Oryctolagus cuniculus: one gene and its partners. The protein of the gene in region 1 interacts with the protein of each later gene in a pairwise test. Links are inferred from orthologs where the notes say so. Each region holds a gene or a part of one and is shown in the gene's direction. Other genes may lie near its edges.

Region 1 (3,651 bases):
TGATTTCTTCCTCATGGGTATCGGCTTTCTCTCGCTGAGTGAAGACAGGCTAGAGTACTTGTCACTAAAAAACAAACTGAGAGAAGCCTTTAAATGTCTTTGTAAATGAATTCTATATATAAATGCTTTATCTCACCACGCTGATGTATTTTACAAGAATTCAGATTTGTCTTTGTACCTTAATAATGTTTGAATGTAATTGTTGCTTCCTTATTTTTTGCCCTAAAATCTAAAGCCATTTCTTTACATAGAAAACTTTGTATTTTGAGATACTTCTAGATTGACATAAGAAGTAATAGAGAAGCTATGTACTCCAAAACACTAGCTATTTGAGTGCTTATGCTTATTAACTTACATTGAGTGCTTCAAAGAATAAAATAATATTCACTTCTAAGCATAATACTGGGGATCAATACATTTCTTTACATTAAATTCAGTAGTTCAGGATATGTATCTCTATACAAAGTAATTTAAAGAGTAAAACAGGGGCCCGTGTTGTGGCAAACAGGTTACGCTGCCACCAGTAATGCTGGCATTGCATTTGGCCTACAGGTACTGGTTTGAGTCCTGGCTGCTCCACTTCTTCTTCTTCTTCTTCTTCTTTTTTTTTTTTTTTTTTTTTTTTTTAATAAGATTTATTTATTTATTTGAAGACAGAGTTACAGAGAGGCAGAGAGAGAGAGAGGTCTTCCATCTGCTGGCTCACTACCTAGATGGCCGCAATGGCTGGAACTGTGCTGATACAAAACCAGGAGCCAGAAGCTTCCTTCGGGTCTCCCATGCAGTTGCAGGGCCCCAAGCACTTGGGCCATCTTCCACTGCTTTCCCAGACCATAGCAGAGAGCTGGATCAGAAGTGGAACAGGGGGGTCTCGAACATATGGGATGCTGGCACTGCCAGCGACAACTTCAGCTACTATGCCATAGCGCTGGCCCCTGCTCTACTTCTGATCCAGCTCCCAACTGATGCACCTGGGGAACAGTGGAAGCAGACCCAAGTGCTTGGGCCCCTACACCCACATGGAAGACCTGGAAGAAGCTCTGGACTCCTGGCATTGGCCTGGTACAGTGGCACACTACTATAGAATTCAACCTAAAGACATTCTTTACATCCCATATCACTTTGTATTCTGGAAGAAACCAGCGTTCTTCATCTCCTCAAAACTTTTCATGGAATCAGCATTTCTGTAGAAATCTGCATGTGCCTTCTTTCCTGGTTCCACCACAGCAGACTTGCACAGAGCTGCAGTGCTCGAGGAGATGTGCAGCAACTCCTGTGGTCGTCCTGTTGGGGTGATTTCAAACTCGGGTATTGAAACAATTCAGTTATTTTTTTCTAAGTCAATTATTCTTTGGTGATTTAGTATATACCTGTTCATCTCCAGGGTCCATAAGGTAATTTTGCTTCATACCCACATGTAATATATCCAGTTTATATGCACTTGGAAAAAGAAAAAGGAGACGAAAGATAATTTTCAATAGTTCATTTAAAATAATTTTAAATAGTTTAGACAATTCCCAATATTCTGATCAATGTTTATATGGTGCAAAATGAGGAGAGGACAAGGTGTTGTGACTTGTCTGCCATCTCATCCTGGAGTAGCCAGGACTTAAACCGGTGCCCATATGGGATGCTGGCACTGCAGTTGACAGCTTTACCTGCTACGCCACAGTGCCAGCCCCAAGTAAGTGCTCTTTTTAAACATGTATGCTTTGTACTTGTCCTTAAACTGAAGTTTTGGTAGCCAGACCTGCAATTCAGAAAATTTTAGGCAGCAACACTACATCAGAGAATGACTTAATCAACAGGTGATTCACTTAAAGCTATTATTTTTTTAAAGATTTATTTATTTAGTTGAACAGCAGAGATATAGAAAGGCAGAGAGAGAGAGAGGTGTCTTCCATCCCCTGGTTCACTCCCCAGATAGCTGCAGCAGCCAGAGCTGTGTGGATCCAAAGCCAGGATCCAGGAGCTTCTTCTGGATCTCCTACGTAGGTGCAAGGGCCCAAGTCTTCTACTGCTTTCCCAGGCCATAGCAGAGAGCTGGATTGAAGTTGGACAAGCGGAGATTCGAACCGGTGCCCATTTGGGATGCTGGCATGCTGTAGGGGGTGGCTTTACCCACTACGCCATAGTGCCAGCCCCCTCTATTATTATAAACCTTGTCTGGTTGATATTTTCTTTTGAGAATCTAATAAAACTCCTTGGAAAATAGTTGACTGGAACACTAATTTTTTTATTTGAGAGGCAGAGTTAGAGAGAAGGAGACATAGAGAAAGAGAGAGATCTTTCATCTGCTGGTGCACCCCTCCAAATGGTCAACTGGCCCAGGCTGAAACCGGGAGTGTCCTCTTAGTCTTCCACGTGGGTGGCGGGGACCCCAGGACTCCAGCCATCTTCCTCTGCTTTCCCAGGCACATTAGCGGGAAGCTGATTGGAAGTGGAGCGGCCAGGAACCAAACCAGTGCCCATATTGAATATGGCGTCGCAGACAGCAACTTAACCCACTACACCAGAGCCCCTTCCTCCTAACCTCCCTCCCCCTTTTTTTTCTTATTTAGGATTTTGTGGAAGGACAGTTGATGGGAAGTGATTCATGAACATCTTTGTGCCTGTGACTGCTAGATTGAGTTCCTATTCTGGAGAGATACTATCTAAGTTTTCTCTTTTGAATTTAATGTCTTGTATTTTGTGCTTAATCTTGTTGGCCTATCTGATGACAGTATTAGCAGTTGTTCACGTTTACTTAATTCGCATTTTGTGTTTAGATTGCAGGTGAGAAGAAGTCTGCCCAGTGGCGTACAGTGGAGGGAGCATTGAAGGAACGCAGAAAGGCAGTAGATGAAGCTGCTGATGCCCTTCTCAAAGCCAAGTAATTACTCATGGACTTTAACAAGTAATTAGGGCCTCTGGTGGCTCTCTGGGCTGGGTTTTCCTTGGATTATCTGGGGAAGATACTGTAAGAGGAGGCAGAGACCCTTTCCTCCTGCACCTGTGCTGCTTCTGAACTGGTACCAGGAAACAGGAAAACAATGAGGTGAAAATAAATTTGACAGAAACTTACATAAATGATCTTATATAAACGTCAGTTTTGCTTTGGATTATTGTTGAGGTGGTGAGATTCCTGAGAGTTTCATAATTTCTGTTTTGCTGGGCTGGTTTAAACAGTTCTGTCAGAATTTGGAAAATATGTCATGATCTCTTTGCCCTAATTACCTAAGAATTGACTATATATTGTCTTTTGCCACTTTAACCTTGATTCCTAGAAGTTAACTGAAACTAGGATCAAGTGAAAAACCCAAGTATAAGACCAACCTCTGATGATGGAGGGCTGCATTTGGACTAAAGGTTCTCATCAACAGTGTGTAGTAGTTATTTTTTATTTAAAATTTTGCTGTTTTATTTATTTTTGATAGAGCCTTCTAATGAAGCACACGCCTTTTAGATTATGCCCACATCACTAGACAGTGTATCAGGGCTCTGAGTTCTGTGTTTTGTGGTGGCTGGGCCACAGTCTGACCTTTGAAGCATTCTAAATTGTCATTCTAAATTGACGTATTTGCTCAGTGAGGTAGGTCTCTGGCCATCTCCCTGGCCTTTGCGTTCCTTCAGTTCTTTGTGATTGACAGGGACATCAGCCTAATCCCTGCC
Region 2 (3,651 bases), on another chromosome or scaffold:
GTGGTGGTGGCTTTTGCCAGGTATTGCATTCAGAATGTTGTTATTAAGGCAGAACTCTGACAGCGTGTGAAAGTCATTCCAAGGCACTTCAGCAAGAATATCCAAGAACTGGGTTTATGTTTGAGTTAAGTGTACTCAAGGATCAAATTTGGCTTGGTGTGTGTGGATGAAGATCATGATGCAAGACTTCTGCCAGTGTTTTGCATTTTCTCTCTTTTTTGTACCCCTATTTTTTTTTAAAGGATTTATTTATTTGAAAGGCAAAGTTTCAGAGAGGCAGAGAGAGAGGAATCTACAGACCTACATTCTGGTTTTTTTTTTTTTTTTTTTTTTTAAGATTTATTTTATTTATTTGAAAGAGTTACAGAGAGGCAGAGAGAGAGGCGTCTAATGTCCAATGGTTCACTCCCCAGATGGCTGCAACGGCCAGAACTGTGCAGATCCGAAGCCAGGAGCTTCCTCCGAGTCTCTTGTGTGGATGCAGGGGTCCAGGACTTGGGCCATCGGCTTTCCCAGGCCATAGTACAGAGCTGGATTGGAATTGGAGCAGCTGGGATCGAACTGGTGCCCTTAAGGGATGCCGGCACTGCAGCCGGTGGCTTTAATCACTGGCCCCCCTTTTTTAAAGATTTATTTATTTGAAAGGCAGAATTACAGAGATGCAGAGGCAGAGAGAGGGATCTTTTGTCCGCTAATTCACTCCCTAAATAGCTGCAGCATCCGGAGCTGTGCCAATCTGGAGCCAGCAGCTTCTTACAGGTCTCCCACTGGGTATAGGGGCCCAGGCACTTGGGCCACCTTCCATTGCTTTCCTGGTCCATAGCACAGAGCTGGATTGCAAGTGGTGCAGTGGGATTTGAGCTGGTGTCCATAGTGGATGAGAGAGATCTTCCATCTGCTGGTTCACTCCCTGAATGGCTGCAACAGCCGGAGCTGGTGGGATCCAAAGCCAGGAGTCTGGAGTTTCCCTCAGGTCTCTCATGTGGGTGTTGATGCCCAGAGACTTGGGTCATCTTCCACTGCTCTCCCAGGCCATAGCAGAGTGCTGGATCAGAAGTGGAGCAGCTGGGATTCAAGTTGATGCCCATATGGGATGCTGGTACTGCAGGTGGTGGCTTTACCTGCTATGCCACGGGGCTGGCACAAATTTTCTTAAAAATATTCATGTTCTGAATGTTTCTGTAGATAATAAAAGTGAAAGATTTCTGAACTAAGGGGTCAGAAGAAAATGATTCTAATACCTTCCTTTTGAATCTTATGTCGTTCAACCCTATGTAAGCCACTTTTATCTCAATTGATTTAGTTACTTAATTTATAAATTGTGGATGGTGAAACTTGTCCCTAACTCAAGGTTATTTGGAAGAATAAATGAGTTAAGTGTTATATCCCTCTTTAATAGTTTCATTAATTTTCTTATATTAACATTTCAGACTAATGTGGGAAAATGCTTTGAAACCTAGTTGTGTAGTACAGATGGAATGAGTTGTTACTTTTATGTTTTTTTTCTTAAGGTTTGTTTCTTTGAAAAGCAGAGATGGGGAGAGGGTAGGAGTGGGGAGAGGGAGAGATGGGAGATGGAGATGATGGAGGCGGAGGCAGAGGCAGAGGCAGAGGCGCAGGCAGAAGTATCAGGATCAATCCTCCATCCATCTGCTGCTTCACTCAAATGCCTGCAACAGCCAGGGCTGGACCAAGTTGAAGCAAGGAACCAGGAACTCCATCTGGATCTCCCACAGGGATGGCAGGGCTCCACGCATGGAGCCATCCTGCACTGCTTTCCCAGGCGTGTTAATGGGAAGCTGGTCTGGGAGTGCAGCAGTTGGGACTTGAACCAACAGGCATTCAGAGATGGAATGCCTGATTTGCAAGTGATGGCTTAGCCCTGTTGTGCCACAAAACTGGCCCCTGTGTTTTTTTCTTTGAATCCTTGGGTTTCATCATCTGAAACTCCTGGAGTAGTTGATACTTGGTATGGTTATTTTTTAATGTGCATTTATTTTTGCTTCAGGTTGATTGCATCTTCTAAGGACAGGTAAATTCAGTATTTAGCATAGTGACTTGATCATTTATAATTATAGTGTAAGCTTACTGATATTTGCTTTGGTAAATTTCACAGCTTTGTGAATTGAAAACAGGTTTTGTTTTAATGTATTTGGGTTTGGCTTACATGTTTGCTGTAAAATGTTTTACCTACTAAATCAAGGACCTATTTTTATTAGGCCTTCACAGAGCTTCAAGCCAAAGTTATTGACACTCAACAGAAAGTGAAGCTTGCAGACATACAGATTGAGCAACTGAACAGAACGAAAAAACATGCACATCTTACAGATACAGAAATTATGACTTTGGTAGATGAGACTAACATGTATGAAGGCGTAGGAAGAATGTAAGTAAAATATATCTTTACAGGGGTTGTTATGGGAGAACGGTTGTCTGAACTGAATCATTGAATTTGTTTATTTTGAAATTTGGGCCAAAGTGTATAGAAATAGCGTTAGTGGTTATTTAGTCAAATGCCTTCTTTTTTTAAAAAATGAGGTAATGAACCTTAGAAAGGTATGAGTGTTTAATTTTAAACATTGAAATTATGTATCTTAAATCCGTGTTCTCTCTACAGTTATGTCCATACTAATTTTGTTTGTAAAGATTTATTTAAGTAGGAATAATTTTATTTGTTTTTTAAAGATTTTATTTATTGATTGATTTGTAAGGTAGGGGGACAAGAGAGGAAGAGACAGCTCTTCCATCTGTTTTTTGATTCTCCACATGGCTGCAATAGCTGGAGCATGTTAGCACTAAGGTGGAGCACTCCTGTAGGGGTGCCACAACATAATGCACCCCCCTTCCTTTTTATTTTTATTTTTTTGTTTCACTTATTTGAGAAGCAGAGAAAGAGAACCTTCATCTGTTAGTTCAACTCCCAAATGCCTGCAACAGACTGGGCTGGACATGAGTGAAGGTGGAGGCCAGGAACTCAGACAGGTTGTCCACGTGGTTAGTTTCAGACACCCATCACTACTGCCTCCCAAGGTCTGCATTTGCAGGAAACTAGAGTTAAGAGCTAGAGCCAGACAGTGAACCCAGGCCTTTGGGTGTCTTAATTGGTAACTGCTGGCTAAACTCCTGTCTCAGTAGGTGTAGTGTTTTTTTCCCCCCAGAGATTTATATATTTATTTGAAAGGTGGCGTTACAGAGAGGCAGAAGCAGAGAGAGAGAGAGGTCTCTCATCTGCTGGTTCACTCCCCAAATGGCCACAACAGCCAGAGCTGAGCTGATTTGAAGCCAGGAACCGGGAGCCAGGAGCCAAGAGATTTCTCTGGGTCTCCCAGGAGGGTGCAGGGACCCAAGGACTTGGGCCATCCTCTACTGCTTTCCCAGGCCATAGCAGAGAGCTGAATCAGAAGTGGAGCGGCTGGATTCAAACTAACAGGGGTATTGCAGGCGGTGGTCTCAGAATGTATAGGTTTTTTATTATTATTTTTTTTGACAGGCAGAGTGGACAGTGAGAGAGACAGAGAAAGGTCTTCCTTTGCCGTTGGTTCACCCTCCAGTGGCCGCCACGGCGGCGCGCTGCGGCCGGCGCACTGTGCTGATCCAATGGCAGGAGCCAGGTACTTATCCTGGTCTCCCATGGGGTGCAGGGCCCAAGGA
Region 3 (3,651 bases), on another chromosome or scaffold:
TGAATTTAACATAAAATAGTCATGTAGACTGTATGTGAGGTACATGTGGCCAGTGACTGTCTTATTGGACAATGCAGGTCTGGATGCCTTAGGACTCTAAATTAGTAAAGCTCTGTTCAAGTGATTACTGAGTCCCTGGACATAAAGCACTTGCTGGCTCCACGGGGGCTTCAGGGATCATACATGCAACACCCGACTTACAGATGTAACTGAACCGATGTTATTGGAAAGGGAGGCCAACTTATGCTGCATGAAGTAGGTGTTCTCTGCTCTCACCTGAGTCCAAACAAAGCATCTACCCCACTCTGGATTTGATCTCCCAACCCCTAAAGGCACTGAGGTTGAGGGAGTGCATTTATATTCTGAAACACTCATTAGTCTCTCCCAAGCAGGTGAGTCCCTGGTGAAGCAAGACAGCAAGCAAGTCCAGGTGGACCTCCAGGACCTGGGCTATGAGACCTGTGGGCGGAGCGAGAACGAGGCTGAGCGGGAGGAGACCACAAGTCCTGGTAAGAGTGCAGGGTGTGGGGTCCACCTTCCCTCACATTTGGGTGCTCCTGGCTAATACCCCTCCTGAGAAGTAGAAGGGGAAGAGGGTGTTGTGACTGAGGGAGACACAGGACATGGGAGGATTTGAATTCAGGCTCCGCCATGTGCTAGCTGGAGTGATCTGGAATACGTTCGTTTACCTTTCTCTGAGTGCGGGTTTACACAGTGAGTAACCTAGAAAGTGACCGTTCCTAACTTGCAGGGCTGTCGGGAGGTTCAGAATAACCCGGCTGAATAAGGTTCTGCCTCAGCTTTTGCTCGAGTGACTATTGTCCTCATAGCCAAACCCGCCTCCCCTCACAGGGAGGGGTCACTGCAGAACATGGAGCTTCTGTTCAGGAAGATGTCTTTGTCCTTTTCCAGAGTGTGAGGAGCATGACAGTCTCAAGGGAATGGCCCTCAGGGAGGGGCTGTGCTCCGGGCAGGGATGCCTGGGCCCGGCCCTGGCCAGCACCCCCGGGAAGAAGCCCTCGGAGAGCCAACTCAGGAAACAAGAGTTCCAGGCATACGGGAAATCAGAAGACATCTCGGCCCTGCAAAAGGACATCAGGGATCTGAAAGCCCAGCTGCAGAATGCCAACAAGGTCATCCAAAACCTCAAGAGCCGGGTCCGGTCCCTATCGGTCACGAGCGATTACTCATCGAGTCTGGAGAGACCCCGGAAGCTGAGGGCTGTCGGCACCCTTGAGGGGTGCTCTCCTCGTAGTGTCACTGATGAGGATGAGGGCTGGCTGTCGGATGGCACCGGGGCCTTCTACCCGCCAGGGCTTCAGGCCAAAAAGGATCTGGAGTGCCTTATCCAGAGAGTCTCCCAGCTGGAGGCCCAGCTGCCGAAAACCGGACTGGAAGGGAAACTGGCCGAGGAACTGAGATCAGCTTCGTGGCCTGGGTAAGGAGGGCAGTGTCGGGCCCGTCCTCGATTGACGACGTCTAAGTTTGTGCTGGGAGTAGAGAAGCCCAGGCAGGTAAAAGAGAGAACATATATAGGCAGTCATGCGGGCACTTGCTGCCGTGGTAGACGTAGGTCTCTGGAAAGGACAGATAGACGAACAGCAGGCTGGGAGCTGCCAGGTCTCTGGAATGTCCCTGCAGGCATTTAGTAGAAAAGTGACAGTGTGGGTAATACAGCACAGTAGGAAGAGCCAAGTTGGAGAACCTGGGTTCAAATCCCGGCTCTGCCATTTACTACCTATGCAACCCACCCATCCTGCCTCAGCCCATTTCCTTACCTATTAAATGAAGATAATAAAAGAATACACCTCAGAGGGGGGGTGGTTATTAGGTTTAAAAGAATTAATACAAGTGCTTAGAATAGTGCCTAACATATCTTAATCTCTCCAACCCTATTTGCCATCGTTATCATTGGTATTGATGCTTTGCATTGAAAAACACTGGGTAAACATTCATCTTGGCATGTCCTGGTCATCCATTGCTAAGAAAAAGCCTCCTGAAAACTTGATGACTCTGGATGATGAGCCGTCATCTCTGCGGGTTGACTTGGCTCATGGGGTCCTGCATGGGGCTGCTGTTAGGTGGTAGCCAGGGCTGGAGCCAGCTGAAAGGCCTGACCGGGTGGTCACCGCTCCTTTAGGCACCTGTGTGCTGACTCTGTGCTCCTTGGCCCCTCTCTTTCTCCATGAAGCTCCTGTCTTCCAGGGCCTCTCTGCCTGACTTCAGCTTCTCCTAGCGCGGGGGGTCTCAGGTACTTTCATTTCCATGGGGCAGTGGCTTCTAAGGCAGGAAGTACAAGTTGCCAGGCCGGTTAAGAACCACTCCTGGACTTGACTCCGTGTTACTTTCTCTCTATTATCTTGGTGTAAGTGGTCACAGGGACTGCTCAGATGTAAGGGGATGAATACCCTCTAGCTGCTGAAGGAAAGAAAGCTGTATTGCAGAAGACGTGGGGTGGGAGCTGTGTAATGGACGCAGTATCATAGTATACAAGAAATCCAGACATCGCAGGGTGTGTAGAGTAGAAGACGTGGCAGGTCCCATGTGTATTTAGGGTGAAGTGTTTCTAAGTGTTTACTGGGGATCTGCTGCGTGTCTACACTGTACTGGTACTGGACAGGATGTTAAATATGGCATTGTCTTTACCTCACCGAACTTATGATTTGGTTTTGGACATTGGACTGACATATATTTGGACATTTGACTAGCTCATAAAAACAGTTGAAGGACAGGAGCAGTAGCTGTTTTTCCTTTGCTATTGTAGTTTTCCAGAGCAGAATTTACTCTTTTTTGTTTTTTAAGCCTGAGCCTGGTTTTTTTTTTTTTTTTTTTTTTTTTAGATTTGTCTATTTATTTGAAAGGCAGAGTTACACACACACACACACACACACACACAGGGGGAGAGAGAGAGAGAGAGAGAGAGAGAGAGAGCAAGCTTCATCTGCTGACTCACTCTCCAAATGGCCATAACAGCCGGAGCTGAGCCTTTCTGAAGCAGGAGCCAGGAGCTACTTCCAGGTCTCCGATGTGGGTGCAGGGGCCCAAGGACTTGGGCCATCTTCTACTGCTGTCCCAGGTGCATTAACAGGGAGCTCGATCAGCAGTGGAGCAGCCGGGACTCGAACCAGCGCCTATATGGGATGCTGGTGCTGAAGGCGAGAGTTTACCTGCTATGCCACAGTGCCAGCCCCAGAATTTACTCTTAAATACTTCCGATGACTTTAGCTGGAAGAGTTTCTTAGAGATATTCTCACAGAAACCTCTACAAAATCTCCATAACTTACCACTCACTCTTTCCCTTTTTTCTTTAAAAAATGTTTGATTTAAAAATATTTCAAATATAGGAAAATATAAAGATGAATTCAATGAGCACTCAGAGACTGAATAATTTTTAACTTTTTGCCATGTTCACTTCATATGTAAGTATTATGTATATACACATATGTACTATTTTTCCTGAGAGAAGGAATGGATATATATGTATACATATATATATATATATATATATAATTTGACAGATAGAGTTAGACAGTGAGAGAGACAGAGAGAAAGGTTTTCCTTCTGTTGGTTCACTCCCCAAATGGCTGCTAAGGCCAGCGCTGAGCCGATCCGAAGCCAAGAGCCAGGTGCTTCCTCCTGGTCTCCCACGCG

The links.
Region 2: the proteins of IMMT (region 1) and PFDN1 interact in a two-hybrid assay, tested with the Homo sapiens proteins (2 studies listed by BioGRID and IntAct). The link is inferred for Oryctolagus cuniculus from reciprocal best matches to the Homo sapiens genes IMMT and PFDN1.
Region 3: the proteins of IMMT (region 1) and PDE4DIP interact in a two-hybrid assay, tested with the Homo sapiens proteins (2 studies listed by BioGRID and IntAct, with this or other methods). The link is inferred for Oryctolagus cuniculus from reciprocal best matches to the Homo sapiens genes IMMT and PDE4DIP.

What each region holds. Positions count from the first base shown.
Region 1 is NC_091433.1:116,590,175-116,593,825, forward strand, and holds part of IMMT (MICOS complex subunit MIC60), read left to right. Parts: intron 1-2,768; coding exon 2,769-2,872; intron 2,873-3,651. UniProt on the Homo sapiens protein: Component of the MICOS complex, a large protein complex of the mitochondrial inner membrane that plays crucial roles in the maintenance of crista junctions, inner membrane architecture, and formation of contact sites to the outer membrane.
Region 2 is NC_091437.1:27,958,010-27,961,660, reverse strand, and holds part of PFDN1 (prefoldin subunit 1), read left to right. Parts: intron 1-2,219; coding exon 2,220-2,386; intron 2,387-3,651. UniProt on the Homo sapiens protein: Binds specifically to cytosolic chaperonin (c-CPN) and transfers target proteins to it. Binds to nascent polypeptide chain and promotes folding in an environment in which there are many competing pathways for nonnative proteins.
Region 3 is NC_091438.1:50,661,518-50,665,168, forward strand, and holds part of PDE4DIP (myomegalin), read left to right. Parts: intron 1-389; coding exon 390-509; intron 510-912; coding exon 913-1,438; intron 1,439-3,651. UniProt on the Homo sapiens protein: Functions as an anchor sequestering components of the cAMP-dependent pathway to Golgi and/or centrosomes.